Linked DNA regions of Arabidopsis thaliana. The protein of the gene in region 2 interacts with the protein of the main gene of each other region in a pairwise test. Each region holds a gene or a part of one and is shown on either strand. Other genes may lie near its edges.

What was found.
Region 1: the proteins of AOX1A (region 2) and ATB' GAMMA interact in a two-hybrid assay, tested with the Arabidopsis thaliana proteins (one study listed by BioGRID).

The regions. Positions count from the first base shown.
Region 1 is NC_003075.7:8,813,641-8,822,447, forward strand, and holds ATB' GAMMA (Protein phosphatase 2A regulatory B subunit family protein), read left to right. Parts: upstream 1-3,281; 5' UTR 3,282-3,318; intron 3,319-3,390; exon of another isoform or gene 3,391-3,406; 5' UTR 3,407-3,790; exon of another isoform or gene 3,791-3,923; 5' UTR 3,924-4,066; coding exon 4,067-5,257; coding exon of another isoform or gene 5,258-5,331; coding exon 5,332-5,709; 3' UTR 5,710-6,087; downstream 6,088-8,807. Other genes in the region: PUX5 (serine/threonine protein phosphatase 2A 55 kDa regulatory subunit B prime gamma), read left to right, coding at 1,228-1,724, 1,971-2,262, 2,380-2,475, 2,576-2,956; RTL1 (RNAse II-like 1), read left to right, coding at 8,044-8,508.
Region 2 is NC_003074.8:7,902,305-7,910,457, forward strand, and holds AOX1A (alternative oxidase 1A), read left to right. Parts: upstream 1-4,216; 5' UTR 4,217-4,585; coding exon 4,586-4,972; intron 4,973-5,054; coding exon 5,055-5,183; intron 5,184-5,483; coding exon 5,484-5,972; intron 5,973-6,052; coding exon 6,053-6,112; 3' UTR 6,113-6,442; downstream 6,443-8,153. Other genes in the region: AT3G22350 (F-box and associated interaction domains-containing protein), read left to right, coding at 1-737; AOX1B (alternative oxidase 1B), read left to right, coding at 1,852-2,151, 2,235-2,363, 2,446-2,934, 3,021-3,080. UniProt on the Arabidopsis thaliana protein: Catalyzes the cyanide-resistant oxidation of ubiquinol and the reduction of molecular oxygen to water, but does not translocate protons and consequently is not linked to oxidative phosphorylation.

The DNA.
Region 1 (8,807 bases), on a different chromosome or scaffold from region 2:
ATTCATTCATATTAGTAAATTAAATAAAACTTCAAATGCTTAAAATAGACGACTATGTAATATTTAATTGGTGATAGTAATATAATTCGACTTCTAAACAAACAAAAAAAAACATATATTGAAGATTGATTTAATTGTATTTAAAATTTTAGAGAGCGTTTATGAATTATAAAAGGGGAAATAATTTTGAAATATATAGTTATATATATAGAAATAAAATAAAAAATCAGAAAGAAAATATAAACGTTATGAGAAAGAAAAAAGAGCAAATGATAGTGGCATATACCAACTGGTAAAACTTCTAAGAGGATTGTTTGTTAAAAGTCTCACATCGAATATGAGACTGAGCCCTAGTCCAAAAATTACTAAAATGGTCAAAATGATTTGTTCAAAAAGGGGGTATGGAACCTCACTAAAATAATAGTGGTTGCATTTTAGTAAGTGAGGTTAGACTAATGGTTGAATTTTAGTAAGCCAAAAACTTTCCATCAGTAATTGCTAATTGGATCAACTAAATGCCATCACACAAAGAAACTATTGCTGAAATTGAATATTGATATTATCAAATTTTGGTATATCTCCAACAACCATAGTCCTCAACAAACATAGAGTAAGTCTAGTTCCTAAATTTTCAATATCTAGCTGTTTTTTTCTTTTCAATATCCAACTTAGTAAACACATTGTTCAGAAACACGCCAAAAAAAAAAATCAACACATCTCAAACCATCATTATCCAGAAGGGTACAGTAAATCCAGTTCCTAGTTTTCGATTTCTAACTTCAAAAATGCTCTCTTTCTACATACACTTTTTTACAAGTCTCTATCACAGAATCGGAACATGTGGATAGAGCAATGGTTAGTAGACTCTTTTCCCCGACCACTCTTTGACGTTCCTCGATAAATCCGAACCTAATGATCAATGAACACGACGAGTCATTTATACAAAGGCAACAACAAAATGTGGTTTCTTCTCAGTTTGCTTCCTTGAAAATTTAGCTGTTATATACTAAAAGGCCTTTTGTAAGGCTAAAAGGCCAAGCCTTTGGGCCCATTAACATCACCGTTTATTCGAAACGTATGTTGTTAAGACTTGAGAGAAGTTTGACGGTGAAAAAAGGAAAATATTTACATATATATAGTAAAATTAAAATAGTAGAAAGAAAAAAATCAGAAAGCTACGAAAGAAAAAAAAAACAATCTAGCAACAGAAGAAGCTTCGAGAAGACGATGGCGACGGAGACGAACGAGAATCTGATAAACTCCTTCATCGAGATCACTTCTTCATCAAGAGAAGAAGCTAATTTCTTCCTCGAAAGTCACACTTGGAATCTAGACGCTGCCGTTTCAACTTTCCTCGATAACGATGCCGCCGCAGCCGCCGAACCAAACCCTACCGGGCCACCACCACCTTCTTCTACTATTGCCGGTGCACAATCTCCTTCTCAATCTCACTCTCCCGATTACACTCCGTCTGAAACCTCTCCCTCTCCTTCCCGATCACGATCTGCTTCTCCGTCTTCTCGCGCTGCTCCCTACGGTCTCCGATCGAGAGGCGGTGCTGGAGAGAATAAAGAAACTGAGAATCCGTCGGGAATTCGGAGTTCTAGGAGTCGTCAACACGCTGGGAATATCCGTACATTCGCCGATCTGAACCGTTCTCCGGCTGATGGCGAGGGCAGTGATTCGGATGAAGCTAATGAGTATTATACCGGTGGACAAAAGAGGTACAATTTTCAACAGATCTGATCATAGTTTGGAAAATACTTAGATGATAATACTGTTGAGAAAGTGAATTAGGGCAACATGATCATGAACTTGAGCAATGTGCGTAGATCAATGATAGTTTAGGGATTGACCATATCTTGTGTATGTAGCTGAATTGTCTTTCTTGAAATTCTTATATAGCTGGAGAAAGTGTATGTTTGTGTCGCTAATAGAGTTTTGTTTTTGGATTGTGTAATGTGTTGTAGTGGGATGATGGTACAAGATCCTAAGAAAGTGAAAGATGTTGATGAACTTTTTGACCAAGCTAGGCAGTCAGCTGTAGACAGACCTGTTGAACCATCAAGATCAGCTTCTACAAGCTTCACTGGAGCTGCGCGTTTGTTGTCTGGTGAAGCTGTTTCGTCTTCTCCTCAGCAACAACAGCAAGAGCAGCCTCAAAGGATTATGCACACCATCACTTTCTGGTTGAATGGTTTCACTGTTAATGATGGTCCGTTAAGAGGGTTCAGTGACCCTGAAAACGCAGCCTTTATGAATGTAATGTCCAGATTTTCTCTAATTAGTAACTACAATTCCATGGAAATCAAGCTTGATACTTGTCTTTACTCACTTGGATAGTCTTTGAATCCCTAATATATATGTTGTCTTTTGCAGAGCATCTCAAGGTCAGAGTGCCCCAGCGAACTCGAACCAGCAGATAAGAAGATCCCTGTTCATGTCGATCTGGTCAGGCGTGGAGAAAATTTCACCGTAAGTCTCATTCCCATCTATCAATAATAATCTCGTTAACCTATTCTCTGGAGAAGCCACTCATAGGATTCTTTTAACGTCTGTATCTTTTGACTCACAGGAACCACCAAAGCCTAAAAATCCATTCCAAGGTGTAGGAAGAACCCTAGGAGCCAGCGGATCTGGTTCAAGTTCAGCACCACAAGCTTCATCTGCCCCAATGAACGTAGCACCAGCACCATCAAGAGGGCTAGTTGTAGATCCAGCAGCACCGACAACCTCTATCCAGCTCAGATTAGCAGACGGAACACGCCTTGTCTCCAGGTTCAACAACCACCACACTGTCAGAGATGTACGTGGGTTTATCGACGCTTCTAGACCCGGTGGCTCCAAAGAGTACCAGTTGCTAACCATGGGGTTCCCTCCTAAACAATTGACAGAATTGGACCAAACCATCGAGCAAGCTGGTATAGCTAATGCCGTCGTCATCCAGAAATTCTAGACTTACATAACTCATCCCTTCGATTTATGTCTCTCTTTTTTTTTTTTTGCTTTTGTGTTTTTGAACCTGATCGTTGACTTTAGTCTCTAACTATCTGGTCAACGCTCTAGAGGCTTTGGATTTTCGTAGATTTATCAAACTCTTTTCTTCAGATTTATTAATAACTTTAGCAGTTTAGCTTTTGCATAATTTATTTATTTCTTCAATCGACTAGCTACTACCATATCTTTTAGAAAGAATAATCGAAAAAATATTATCCAATGAGCAAATTACTTATATCCTTGGACTCGTGAATTGACGAATTGACCAGCTTCTGCATAAATTCCACACACATACGCTCTCCTAATATCAGGGACATAATGGTAATTAACGTACCTGCCCATCTGTCATTTTCCTTGTTCTCTTCAAAACCTTTTTTTTGGAAAATTAATTTTATTTTTTTGTAAACAGTTCTATAATGTCTGTTATTCGGAATCCAAAGAAAGCCAGAGATATTGAGATTTACAGTGAAAATCTACAGAGGAAGAGATAGCGAAGGACAATTATTAATTTATTTTCCTATTTTAGTTTTCATTACAACCTTAATCTTCGTGTTGTGTGTTCTGTAACTTCCCAGATTTTTTTTTTCTCTTTGCTGGGCTTCGTTGCCTTTTCCCCTTTTTTTCTCTTTCCTCTGCTCTCGATTCAGTTTAGGGCGAGAAAAAGTAGCTGTTTTTACAGGGTTTATCACAAAGATCCTTCCTTTTTTACTTGAAGCTCGCCATTTTCTTAGGGTTTCTCTTGATTTCATTCATCTCCAGTGCCCAGATCTCTCTCTCTACTCATCTGCCATTTGTAAGCTCCTCTTCTTCCTCCTCTCTCCAAAGTTTACATTTTGTTGTTTTCTCTGGATCTTCTTAAGCTAATCTTTGATTCTGTTTATGAGATTGTGTTTCCGATTATGAATTTAGGCTTTGTCTACATGCAGGGCTGTGTTCAATGATTAGGGTTTTGATTTAGAACCAAAGCTTTTGGGTTTTACTGGTTTAGTTTAGGCTTGTTGCGAAGTAGAGAAAAAAAGGGAAGGGTTTTGGCCCTTTTGTGGGGAGATAATTTAGGGTTTCTGTAATTATGATCAAACAGATATTTGGGAAATTGCCCAGAAAACCTTCAAAATCTTCGCATAATGACTCGAATCCAAACGGAGAAGGTGGGGTTAATTCATATTACATTCCCAATTCGGGTATTAGTAGTATCTCGAAGCCTTCTTCGAAATCATCCGCATCGAATTCGAATGGAGCAAATGGAACTGTTATTGCTCCTTCTTCAACGAGCTCTAACAGAACCAATCAAGTCAATGGAGTTTATGAAGCATTGCCAAGCTTTAGAGATGTTCCTACCTCGGAGAAACCTAATCTGTTTATCAAGAAGTTGAGTATGTGTTGCGTTGTGTTCGACTTCAATGATCCGTCGAAGAATCTGAGAGAGAAAGAGATAAAGAGACAGACTTTGCTTGAGCTTGTTGATTATATTGCAACGGTTTCTACAAAGTTGAGTGATGCTGCAATGCAAGAGATTGCGAAAGTGGCTGTTGTTAATCTTTTCAGGACGTTTCCTTCTGCGAATCACGAGAGTAAGATTCTCGAAACGCTTGATGTGGATGATGAGGAACCTGCTTTAGAGCCGGCTTGGCCTCATCTTCAAGTTGTCTATGAGCTTCTTCTTAGATTTGTGGCCTCGCCTATGACTGATGCAAAGCTTGCAAAGAGATATATTGACCATTCATTTGTCTTGAAGCTCTTGGATTTGTTTGACTCTGAAGACCAGAGAGAGAGGGAATATCTAAAGACCATTCTTCATCGGATATACGGGAAATTCATGGTGCACCGACCCTTTATCAGAAAGGCGATCAACAATATCTTCTACAGATTCATTTTTGAAACCGAAAAGCATAACGGTATTGCAGAGTTGCTTGAGATACTAGGAAGTATAATCAACGGTTTCGCTTTACCGTTAAAAGAAGAGCATAAGCTCTTCCTAATCCGGGCATTGATTCCACTCCACAGACCTAAATGTGCATCTGCTTATCATCAACAGCTTTCTTATTGCATTGTTCAGTTTGTAGAGAAAGACTTCAAGCTTGCTGATACGGTCATTAGAGGACTTCTAAAGTATTGGCCTGTGACTAATAGTTCAAAGGAAGTTATGTTTCTTGGAGAGTTGGAAGAAGTTTTGGAAGCAACTCAAGCAGCTGAGTTTCAGCGATGTATGGTTCCTTTATTTCGTCAAATCGCTAGATGCCTCAACAGTTCACATTTTCAGGTGCGACTCTCGATAAGTTGTTCATATAGTCTCGCAATTTTGCAGGTTATATTCAAAGTTGCTTCTTTTGTCAGGTGGCTGAAAGGGCTCTATTTCTATGGAACAACGATCACATAAGAAACCTGATTACTCAAAACCATAAAGTGATAATGCCCATTGTGTTCCCGGCTATGGAGAGAAACACACGGGGGCATTGGAACCAAGCAGTTCAGAGTCTGACTTTGAATGTGAGAAAGGTAATGGCAGAGACAGACCAAATTCTGTTTGATGAATGCTTAGCCAAGTTCCAAGAAGATGAAGCGAATGAAACCGAGGTTGTAGCCAAACGAGAAGCAACATGGAAGCTTTTGGAAGAGTTAGCAGCTTCGAAATCCGTAAGCAACGAGGCAGTGCTCGTCCCCCGATTTTCATCTTCAGTTACTCTTGCAACCGGTAAAACTTCGGGTAGTTGAACACTTTCTGCTCTCTATCACCGAGACATACTTTCAAACAATCCAGCAGAATTGTATCGATCCGTTCGAGCATCAGGATCAGTCCTTGAAGAAGATTAAGCACGATGATTAAGAAGGGCAATATCATCAGTGAATACTTAATTATAACATTTTTTTCAGGTTTATGGAATCATGGGTTCAATTGTTTGTTGCTTCTGATCCTTTTTTTTTCTTACTCAGCTCTTAGTTGAATAACAATCTGAGGTGTAAGAAATATGGCTTATAGATATAGTTCTTGAGAGGACGACTAAACAATTATTCGTATTTGTATTGTGGAATGAATTGTATTTTATGCTTTGAAGTTCATTAATTTAGCTCCCCTACTAACCAAATCATAACCGAAGTTATCGAATCTCGGTTTGGTTCGGTATATATGCAACGGCATTTTCGTAAACAAGTCATGTTTTTTTTCGTGTGAGTTTTAGAAAATACAAAAATCATATATAACACTAGATTTTAATTTAAAGTTAGTATAATTTTTTTTTTGCAAATTGTATCTATCTATAATATATTTTTATTTTATAGTTTACAATTGTTATTAAGTAACGTCCTGCCAAACCCGTCCCGCCAAACCTGTCCTGTAAAAAAATCATTTATTTATATTAATATTGATCTTATTTATGATATGTTTATAAATCATTCTCTAAATATTTTTGTCGATGCAGGACATTGAACCCACACATTGTTTGCCAATTGGTTAATATATGTTCATTTTTAAAATTTTGAATCATAAAATGTGACAGAAAAAATTAAGATTTTTTTAAACTCTATATATTATATAATGATGTTAAAAAATTGTGATATATCAAACTTTTTATAAGTTTAAATATTAATAATGTTTTATAAATTTTAAATATATAAATAATAATATTTAAAAAATTAATATTTTTGCTTATAAGGTAATGACATAATAACTCTAAAAGCAAGGATTTAGAAGATTTAAATCTTTAATTAAATATTTTCATTAATAAATAATTAATGTCAGTGACATGACATTGTAAATAAGTTTAAATACAAAATTTATTTATTTAAACAAAAAACGGTTAGTAAGAATAATATTTATTTAACAAAAAACTTTGTTTTAAAATATTGTTAACAAATGTCTATGCTAATTTTAAGGGATTGATTTGAATTTTGTTGGGATTAAATTTGATTGATAATGTGATTGACTATTTAAATCAAAAATTTAAAATAAAATTAATTATTTTGGAAAAAAGATTTAATGCTAATGGCATTAGATTGTAAATAAGTTCAAGTCCAGGATTTATTTGCTAAAATGGTTGCAAAAATGTATATATAGATAGTGTAAAAATAAATTGAATTACCGATGTATTTTTAAAAAAAATCGTGAAATCTAATTTATTTACGGAAAAATATTACCACATTATTTTTGCAAATATTGTGTATGGTAATGAATCCAATCCATTATTCTAATTTGTTCTTAGTCAATGAGTGGTATTCAATTTCATTGTCCCGGTCCCACGGACTGACTACTCAGCAACCCAATCTTACAAAGTCAAAGTCAACTTTTATTTTGTTTCTCTTTTTTTCCGTTTCCATCCCAAATTCATTTCTTTATAAATTATTTATTCCTAAAAGGATTTGTAAATTAACCTAATTTGCATTTCAAAATATTTTTATCTATTTTAGTATTAAATTGGAATAATTGTTATTTTTGTATTAAAAAAACACTAATATCCAAAATTGTTATATTGCTTTTTATTTTGCTTTTTTCTATTTTTAATTTCTATTTTTTAATAGCATCGCCGTATCGTCGCATCGATACTCGGATTTAGTAAATAAGTGTTTTTTAGCAAGAGTTTATGCAAGTCCGCTTCGATTAAAGTATCTAAACCAAAATCCAAACACGTGGGAGTTTCCGTTTTAATTTCTAGTTATATTATACCCTTCGTTATTTAAGATATAAAACAGCAATTTATTATCACTAATTGATAAAACCTTCATTGCAAATATAAACTAGATTTTAAAAATAAAATTTGACTTTTAAAATACAATGTAATATTATTAATGATATAAAAACAAAAAACCTAAAATGGTATTGAAGTGTCAAACAGAGGAAGTATATGATATATATGTAATTAACTAGTCAAAATCTGCTGTGATAACGACCAATTCTAAACAATTATAAAATCTTCTAAAAATTAATGAGAATCTACTATATTTAATAACTAAAATAATAGAAGGATGACAATTGACAACTATAACAATATTGAAGAAGTCATACCAAATATATTAAGACGTGTATAAAAAGGGTATCATAACCGAAGACTTAAGATGAACAAGACACAAACACAACAGAAACTTAACCAAAGACATATCTCTCTCTCCTCAAACCCACCTCTTGTCTCTATGGGATCGCAACTCTCAAACGCAATCGACGGTAAAGATAACACCAAAACCATCGGATCAGCGGATCCGGACCAGCTTATGGAGATCGAATCCTTGGAGAAGATCTTAAATTACAAGTTCAAAGACAAGAGTTTGTTGCTGAAAGCGTTCACAGACGCTAGTTACGTTGATGACAAGAGTGAATCGTACGAACTCCTAGAACTTTTAGGAGATTCGATCCTAAATATGGGTATAATCTATGATTTTATTAAGCTCTACCCTAAAGAAGCACCTGGTCCGTTGACCAAGCTCCGAGCCGTCAACGTAGATACCGAGAAATTGGCACGGGTCGCTGTAAATCACCAACTCTATAGCTATCTCCGTCATAAGAAACCCTTGCTTGAGGAGCAAGTAAGTTACATTCTTAAAAACCCTACTCAATTATCATCTTTGAAATCCCTAGTATTTAACCGTGTCAAATCTTATAAATTTTTATTTATTAATTACTTCGATCATGTCTTATTGCAATTTGGTTCATTATTAAAATCCATGGAAAATAAACTTTGTCAACCTTTTTTTCCCATTCTCTATATCACTTTCATCCACAATTTGTCTCAATGAATGTGTTAGTTTATTCCATAACCCATGGGCCTAATTAGAAATTTACCAACAATAATCTTTAATAAAAACGTTTGTATTGGTTGTGTGTA
Region 2 (8,153 bases):
AATGCAGGAGATACTCTACGTTTGCTCTAGGATACGAAAACAACAAATTTTGTCGTCGTAACTACAAAATCTTGAGGTATTGGGGTTGGTTTCACGATCACATACCAGACGACGGCGGACGTTTCAGGTTTGAAATATATGACTTTAGATCTGATTCATGGAAGGTTCTTGATGACGTCCCTGATGACCGCTTCCCACCAGTAAGTGTCGTGTCTTTAAAGGGAAACACTTACTGGTTTGGTTCTAATAAAAAGGACTTCTTACGTAGTTTTGATTTTACAACAGAGAGATTTAATCATATTGGTCTTCCGCCATCTCGAGATCATGGTTTTATGGCTCTATCAGTTGTTGGAGAAGAACAACTCTCAGTGTTACAAGAGATTGAGACATCAAAGATGGAGATATTTGTAACCAATAAAGTTGGTACTGAAGAAGCTGCTTTGTTGTGGAGCAAATCCTTTATAGTGGATTTACCCATTGGCGGTCATTGTTCTGAGGTTTTCGCGAGTCTTTTAATCAACGAGGAGAAGAAAGTGGCCTTGTGTTGTAATTTAGATTTCGAGACCGACGGGAACTTGATATTCACTATTGGAGAAGACAATAAATATTACTCAGAAATCCCTTATGCTACAAACAAGCCATGGTGGTTATGTAGATTTTCTGAAAAATTTACAAAAAAATGGTGGTGGTTTCCATTTATTTACAATTATGTTCCAAGTTTGGTTCAAATCTTGTAAGAGAGATAGAGAGTAAAAAAGAGAAGAAAAAAAACTAGTCGATAAAAATAAGATACACTAGTCCTCTCTCATTTGTTTTCCCTTTGGTTGAATAATTTAATGAAAGTTTTTTGGTAGTTTATTCTTTTTCTTCGTGTTGTATAGTTTATGATTCTTACCTTTGAGAGCCTGCTCTAGGCTGGATTTCAGAAACAAATGACAATCATCTTGTTATCACTCTGTCTGGAGAGGTTTCGATCATCGCTAGCGGAATCAAAAACCCGAGGATATCCTACTTCGACATCGTCAAGATGGATTCAAAATCATCAAATTGGGGGGAAAATCGATTTTATTGCGAACATTTTGGGTAAATTTTAGTAATGATCAGTTTCATAGATACACTGAGATTCGTCTATATTGTTTGAATGGTGGCGGCGGTCGGGATGGACAAATCCACTCAGCAGTTTAGTTTGCTCTATTTTTAGGATGGATAACAAACCGATGTAGATCAACTCTATTTGTATATATAAGCACAATTCTATGAATGGTAAATAACTACAGACACAATTTATGAATGGTAACTAAATATCGGTCAAGTCCATAAACGGATTTGTCCGCCTTAACCGCTGCAACCATTCAGACCCTATGGTTTGAAACAAGTAATTGCGTCCATGATATTCAAACCGAGAAGGTTGTCCAATGGTTTCAACAGTTTGCGACACAGTTATTGTTAGATACATCAAAGAAACTATAAGACACTACACAAATACGTCTCTGTTTTGGAACAGAGGATTTTTTTAACTTTTTAATTATATTAATCTAATTAATCAAAACATGAATTAAAACGGCTGACGAATATCACCAGCCAAGTCTATAGAAAAAAGATTATTACTACAAGCTTTTACTTAAAAAATGTCCACAGTTTTTGAGCATAAACTTGCGGATTAGTTTGTCTTTTCGTGTGCTACAAGTCTTTTAGTCAAATTAGACGAATTTTACGCTTTCTTGTATACATTGATCCTAGAGTTCCGTAATTGCTATAAATAGATGTCAGTTTAGGAGTTACCAAATGCAAAAAAACAAAAAAAAAACACTATCATTAATCAAGTTCCACTGTTCATTTTCGATCTGCATAATGATGATGAGTCGTCGCTATGGAGCCAAGCTAATGGAAACTGCTGTGACTCACAGCCATCTTTTGAATCCTAGGGTTCCTCTCGTGACGGAAAATATTAGGGTTCCGGCGATGGGAGTCGTGAGAGTTTTCAGCAAGATGACATTTGAGAAGAAGAAAACTACGGAGGAGAAAGGATCTAGCGGTGGCAAGGCTGATCAAGGTAACAAAGGGGAGCAATTAATCGTTAGCTACTGGGGAGTGAAGCCGATGAAGATCACCAAAGAAGATGGAACTGAATGGAAATGGAGTTGCTTTAGGGTACATTACATCTTTGGTATTATATTAGAACTCTGTGGTCGATTTATATGTATGATTTGAGTTTTTGTGTGGAATAACTGTAGCCATGGGAGACATATAAATCAGATCTGACTATAGATTTGAAGAAGCATCATGTTCCATCGACTTTACCGGACAAACTAGCTTATTGGACCGTGAAATCTCTTCGATGGCCTACCGATCTTTTCTTCCAGGTGACAGTCTTAGCTTTCTATGGTTTTGTCATTTCAAATGCTTTGTATGTTTGGACTAATCTTGCCAACGAGTTAACCGCAGAGGCGGTACGGATGCAGAGCAATGATGCTAGAAACGGTTGCAGCGGTTCCAGGAATGGTTGGAGGGATGTTAGTACACTGCAAATCGCTTCGACGGTTTGAACAAAGCGGTGGTTGGATCAAAGCCCTACTTGAAGAAGCAGAGAACGAGAGAATGCATTTAATGACATTCATGGAAGTCGCGAAACCTAATTGGTACGAACGAGCTCTTGTGATTGCCGTTCAAGGCATTTTCTTCAATGCTTATTTCCTTGGATACCTAATTTCTCCCAAATTTGCTCATCGTATGGTTGGATACCTTGAGGAAGAAGCAATCCACTCTTACACTGAGTTTCTTAAAGAACTCGATAATGGTAACATCGAAAATGTGCCTGCACCGGCTATTGCCATTGATTACTGGAGACTTGAAGCTGATGCGACGCTTCGTGATGTCGTCATGGTGGTCCGTGCTGATGAAGCGCATCACCGTGATGTTAACCACTATGCATCCGTAAGTAGTGTGAATTGTATTATAGGAAACTTACTTATGTTTAAAAGATGATTAGATTGTTTTCATGGTTTTAATAAAAATTGCAGGATATTCATTACCAAGGTCGTGAGCTAAAAGAAGCTCCAGCTCCCATTGGATATCATTGAATCTGAAGAGCTTCTAGCTTTGTTTTGTCGTTTTGATACGGTCCAGTTTTGTTTTCCTTGTTCCTAAATGGGCTTTAATGGGTATTTGTTAAAATTTAGTGGGCCTTAGAGTAAGCTTATTTGTGCTTGCTTTCTTTTTGCTTCATAAAAGAGTGTTTTGTTTGTTTTCATTCTCCTAATAAATCAGTGCTTACATGATATGTTTACATATACACTTAGGCTAGAAATAAAACTTTACAAACCCAAGGCTTTGAAGTTTGAATATAACCATAGATATGTCCATTAAACCCCACTAAAATGAAGTAGGCTTGAATCCATCATATATAAATGTTAAATTAATAGGGGTGGGAAAAAAAACGAAAACCGAAAAACCGAACCGTACCAAACCAAAACAAATGGTTTGGTTTGGTTATGGTTTTGTATAAAAACCCATTTGATTGTAATTTTTATTTAAGTTTTGGTTTAGGTTTGGTTTGATTAAAAACCGTAAAACCGAACGTTTTTTTTGTTTTTGATTTAAATTAAAAATAATTGTATATATATATATATAATGTTCATTTGATAACATGATATCTATCAAACTATCGAAAAACAAAACCCTAACTGTAACCTAAACTAAAATTCTATATAAATTACATGCCGTCATTTAGGATTTGAGTTTACAAATTAGATTTTGATTTTATTTATGCATCACACTTATAATTTTTTTTGGTAAAAACATGAAAAAACCGGAACCAAACCGGAACCGATCCGAACCAAAATACATATGGTTTTTAAATGGTTTTAATTTTTTAAAACCAAAAACTGTAAAACTGTTAAAACCGAACCGTAACCAAACCGAATTTTATATGGTTTTTATATGGTTTTACTTTTCTTAAAATCGAAAAACCGTAAAACCTAAAACCGAAACGAAACCAAACCGAAAAACTGAACACCCAGCCCTTAAATATAATGAAAATCGAATAAATTTGTTTGAAAGAATCGAACAAAATTGACAATAAAATCTAATTAGGACTATTTTCGTCTAATTTTGACTTAGTTGAAACAGAATATTAGCAAAAATACTAAAACACCACAACGCGTAATAATACCCACACACGATATCATTAAATTTGACCAATAAGAATCTAGCTCTTGGCGACCACGCAAGTATCTTCCATCTTGCTCTCCAAGAAAAATCTACACCGGCTTTAAATTTACATAAACACCCTCAGTCAAAGAAAAGTCGTAAACATAGTCTCTCTCATGACCACAAGGGTAACACAGTCATCCTAAATATAAACCACACAAGAAAACTGTTATACTTTATACACGTGTCATAGTCTCATTACATCTACGTGAAGAGTTTCGATCATCAACCGTTCGTTTTCTTACTATATAAACCTTGCTCGAGACCTGCGTGTGAAGCGTATAAAGACGACAAAGTAAACCAAAAAAAAAAAGAGTTCTCCTACAATTTTCCTAAATTCTTGGATTTGAGATTTCACTTTTTCCGATTTGAAACAATGATGATAACTCGCGGTGGAGCCAAGGCGGCGAAATCGCTGTTAGTGGCGGCTGGACCACGTTTGTTCTCGACGGTCCGTACGGTTTCGTCTCACGAGGCTTTATCAGCAAGCCATATTTTGAAGCCTGGTGTTACATCTGCTTGGATATGGACTAGAGCTCCGACGATTGGAGGTATGAGATTCGCTAGCACGATCACTCTGGGAGAGAAAACTCCGATGAAGGAGGAGGACGCGAATCAGAAGAAAACAGAGAACGAATCCACCGGTGGAGACGCCGCCGGAGGTAATAACAAGGGAGATAAAGGAATCGCGAGCTATTGGGGTGTTGAACCTAATAAGATTACTAAAGAAGATGGTTCTGAATGGAAGTGGAACTGTTTCAGGGTACGTTATAGCTAGATTCGTATACAGTGTTGTTCTTCGTTGATCTGTGTAAATTTGTTGAAATTTCTTTGGATTTTTGCAGCCATGGGAAACGTATAAAGCTGATATAACGATAGATCTGAAGAAGCATCATGTTCCAACGACGTTTCTTGATAGAATAGCTTATTGGACTGTTAAATCTCTTCGTTGGCCTACCGATTTGTTCTTCCAGGTACTGTTCTTCTTCTTCTTCTCCCATGGAAAATTTCTTTACATTTTTTGCCAATTTTATGATATGGAAATGATCCAAATCTGATATCGTCATTGATTACGTGTAACCTTAAATATTTTATTTCATTCTTTTTATAGCAACTAGTCAATATTTTGTTTGATTATTTTGGAATATATGTGTTTATTATATTAATCACTTCGTTAGTGCTTTGGATTCTTGGTTAATTGTTGGTTAATTATCATTATGTAATGAATTATTGGTTAATTGTTGGTCTGATTGTGATATTGTGAATTAAAACAGAGGAGATATGGATGTCGAGCTATGATGCTTGAAACTGTAGCAGCAGTACCTGGAATGGTTGGAGGAATGTTACTACACTGCAAATCGCTTCGACGTTTTGAGCAAAGTGGAGGATGGATTAAGGCTCTTCTTGAGGAAGCAGAGAATGAGAGAATGCATCTTATGACATTCATGGAAGTCGCGAAACCGAAATGGTACGAGAGAGCGCTCGTGATCACTGTGCAAGGAGTCTTCTTCAACGCTTATTTCCTTGGTTACTTAATCTCTCCCAAGTTTGCTCATCGTATGGTTGGGTACCTTGAAGAAGAAGCGATCCATTCTTATACTGAGTTTCTCAAGGAACTTGACAAAGGTAACATTGAGAATGTTCCTGCTCCGGCTATTGCTATTGATTACTGGAGGCTTCCTGCTGATGCGACACTTCGTGATGTTGTGATGGTTGTTCGTGCTGACGAGGCTCATCACCGTGATGTAAACCATTTTGCATCTGTAAGTATATTATTTGCTTGAGACTAAATTCTAAAGCTTAAAATCGTGTGTTACTGATCAATTATGGTTTTACTTTGTAGGATATTCACTACCAAGGTCGTGAACTAAAGGAAGCTCCAGCTCCAATTGGGTATCATTGATTCGATTAAAAGAAGAGCTTTTTCTCAAGTTTAAAACTTTGTTCTAAAGAATTTAAGTTCTTTGACTTGTATATACATCATCACCTCTGCTTAAGCCATACTTGGATTCGGCTTTCTTTGAATGTTGCTACGAATGTTCTGATTTCTTCTTTACTTTTCCTGTCAATGGGCTTTTGGGCTTATCTTTTGCTATTGTATGGCCTTGCTATTTAGAATGAGAGTAATAGTTTGTAGAAGCTGCTACTAAATCATGTAAAGATACCATTGATATCATCATAACTATTCAATTTCATATGGAAATCAATTAATATACCATCTACATTGACAAAATTACAACTTTTCTTTTCCTGATTACACATGAAACAAAAGAAAGAAAAAGAGGACCCAATGGATGTGGATCCTTTATTTATGGCATGGGGCTATATTTTCTTTCAGGGCCCTCAAAGCTTTCAAATATAAAGCAAAAAAAAAAAAACAAGAAGAGAAAACAGTCAATTGTAATAGAGAAAGTATAATCAAACAATATTATAATTTGTTGTGATTATGTGTACATAACCACTTTCTTTCAAACGTATCAGAGACTCTCTCTTATGCCACCAAATTAATTGTATAGTTGTGTCCATTATAAAAAAATGGGATCTCTCTATCATGCCTATTGTTTTCAATCTATCATGGCAAGTTTAGGTCAAAGTAATAGCAAATCGCCATTACCAAAAACCTTAATTATTATTTCTTTCCATATTTTATATCAGCAAAATGGTTTTAGCATAAGCAAAAAAAGGCTTCCACATACCTCATCTCTCATCAATTATTTAAACCGCAAATAATAAATTATATCTCACACTAAATGTTGGAATAAAATATTTTGACTTTTCTTTATCTAAATACATATCGAATTATAGGTATAATAAATACAGAAATATACAAATACGTCCTAATCAGTTGCCTAGCCTTCTATCAACTGTTTCTAATATAAAGTAATGTTTATAACTTCAACGATTAATCTAGTCTCATAACAGTATAAAATATTATAATTTGTGGCAATGTGTACTTTCTTTCTTGCATTTTCTTAGATTTGAAATGATAATGATTATAATAATGAATAAACAGTCATGGTGCCATGTTCGCTGTATATTATTTTAAAGACCTCTATATGATTTATCCAATAAACTATATGATCATACGATTAAAATACCAAGAGCTCACAATTTTCGATATGCCTTAGTGCGTTAATGAAGGGAATTTTTTACACATATAAACGTATCTTCGCATACGACAAACAATTATAAAATAGTAGTACAAAATATGTTTAATACTATTTGTGTTTCTTTTTAATTGAAAACCATTCGAATTTTAAACCAAACAAAATAATCGCTTTATGTAATGTTTAATGGTCTGATTGAGAAATTTTCCTCTGACGGCTAGGGTTAAGCGGACGATCAATACTATTGCCACGTTGGCAAAAAGCAATAACTCGAAAAGTCACCACGTGTCATCTACATAGTCAATCAGTTAATTTTCTTTTTATTCGTCGACAAGTTAAGTTAAGAAAAAGAGAGCATTCCGACAGATTTATTTGGCGGGACTCTAAACTCCGACGTGGCATTTTCTTTGCTTTAGAATTCTTTTCACTGTCGTAAAAAGTCCTTTTGGTGACTACTCATCTCAAAAGATAACGTAATCCAACCAATCTCAACTTGCCACCTAAGAATAATTCGGGGCTGTTACATTTAATATTCGTGAACGGCCGTGAGTTTAGTTTTCTATGGATATTTAAGCTAAAAGAGTAGCTTCGACAAAAACAAGATCCGAGCCGACGAATAAGAGATAGGAGATCCTCCAGGTGGCATTTTAGTAATTAACCACGTGGAAATAGACTGAAACCACGTGGATATTTTAGAATTTTGTTGTGCACGCGCTTTGTAGGCGCGTAACGTTAAAAATGTGAAATCTACTGGTTAGAGTTACTCCACTGTTATTAATTATTAGTAAGAGTTATGAATCCTGACCATTGACCAAAGATTGTTGGTGTTTTCAAATT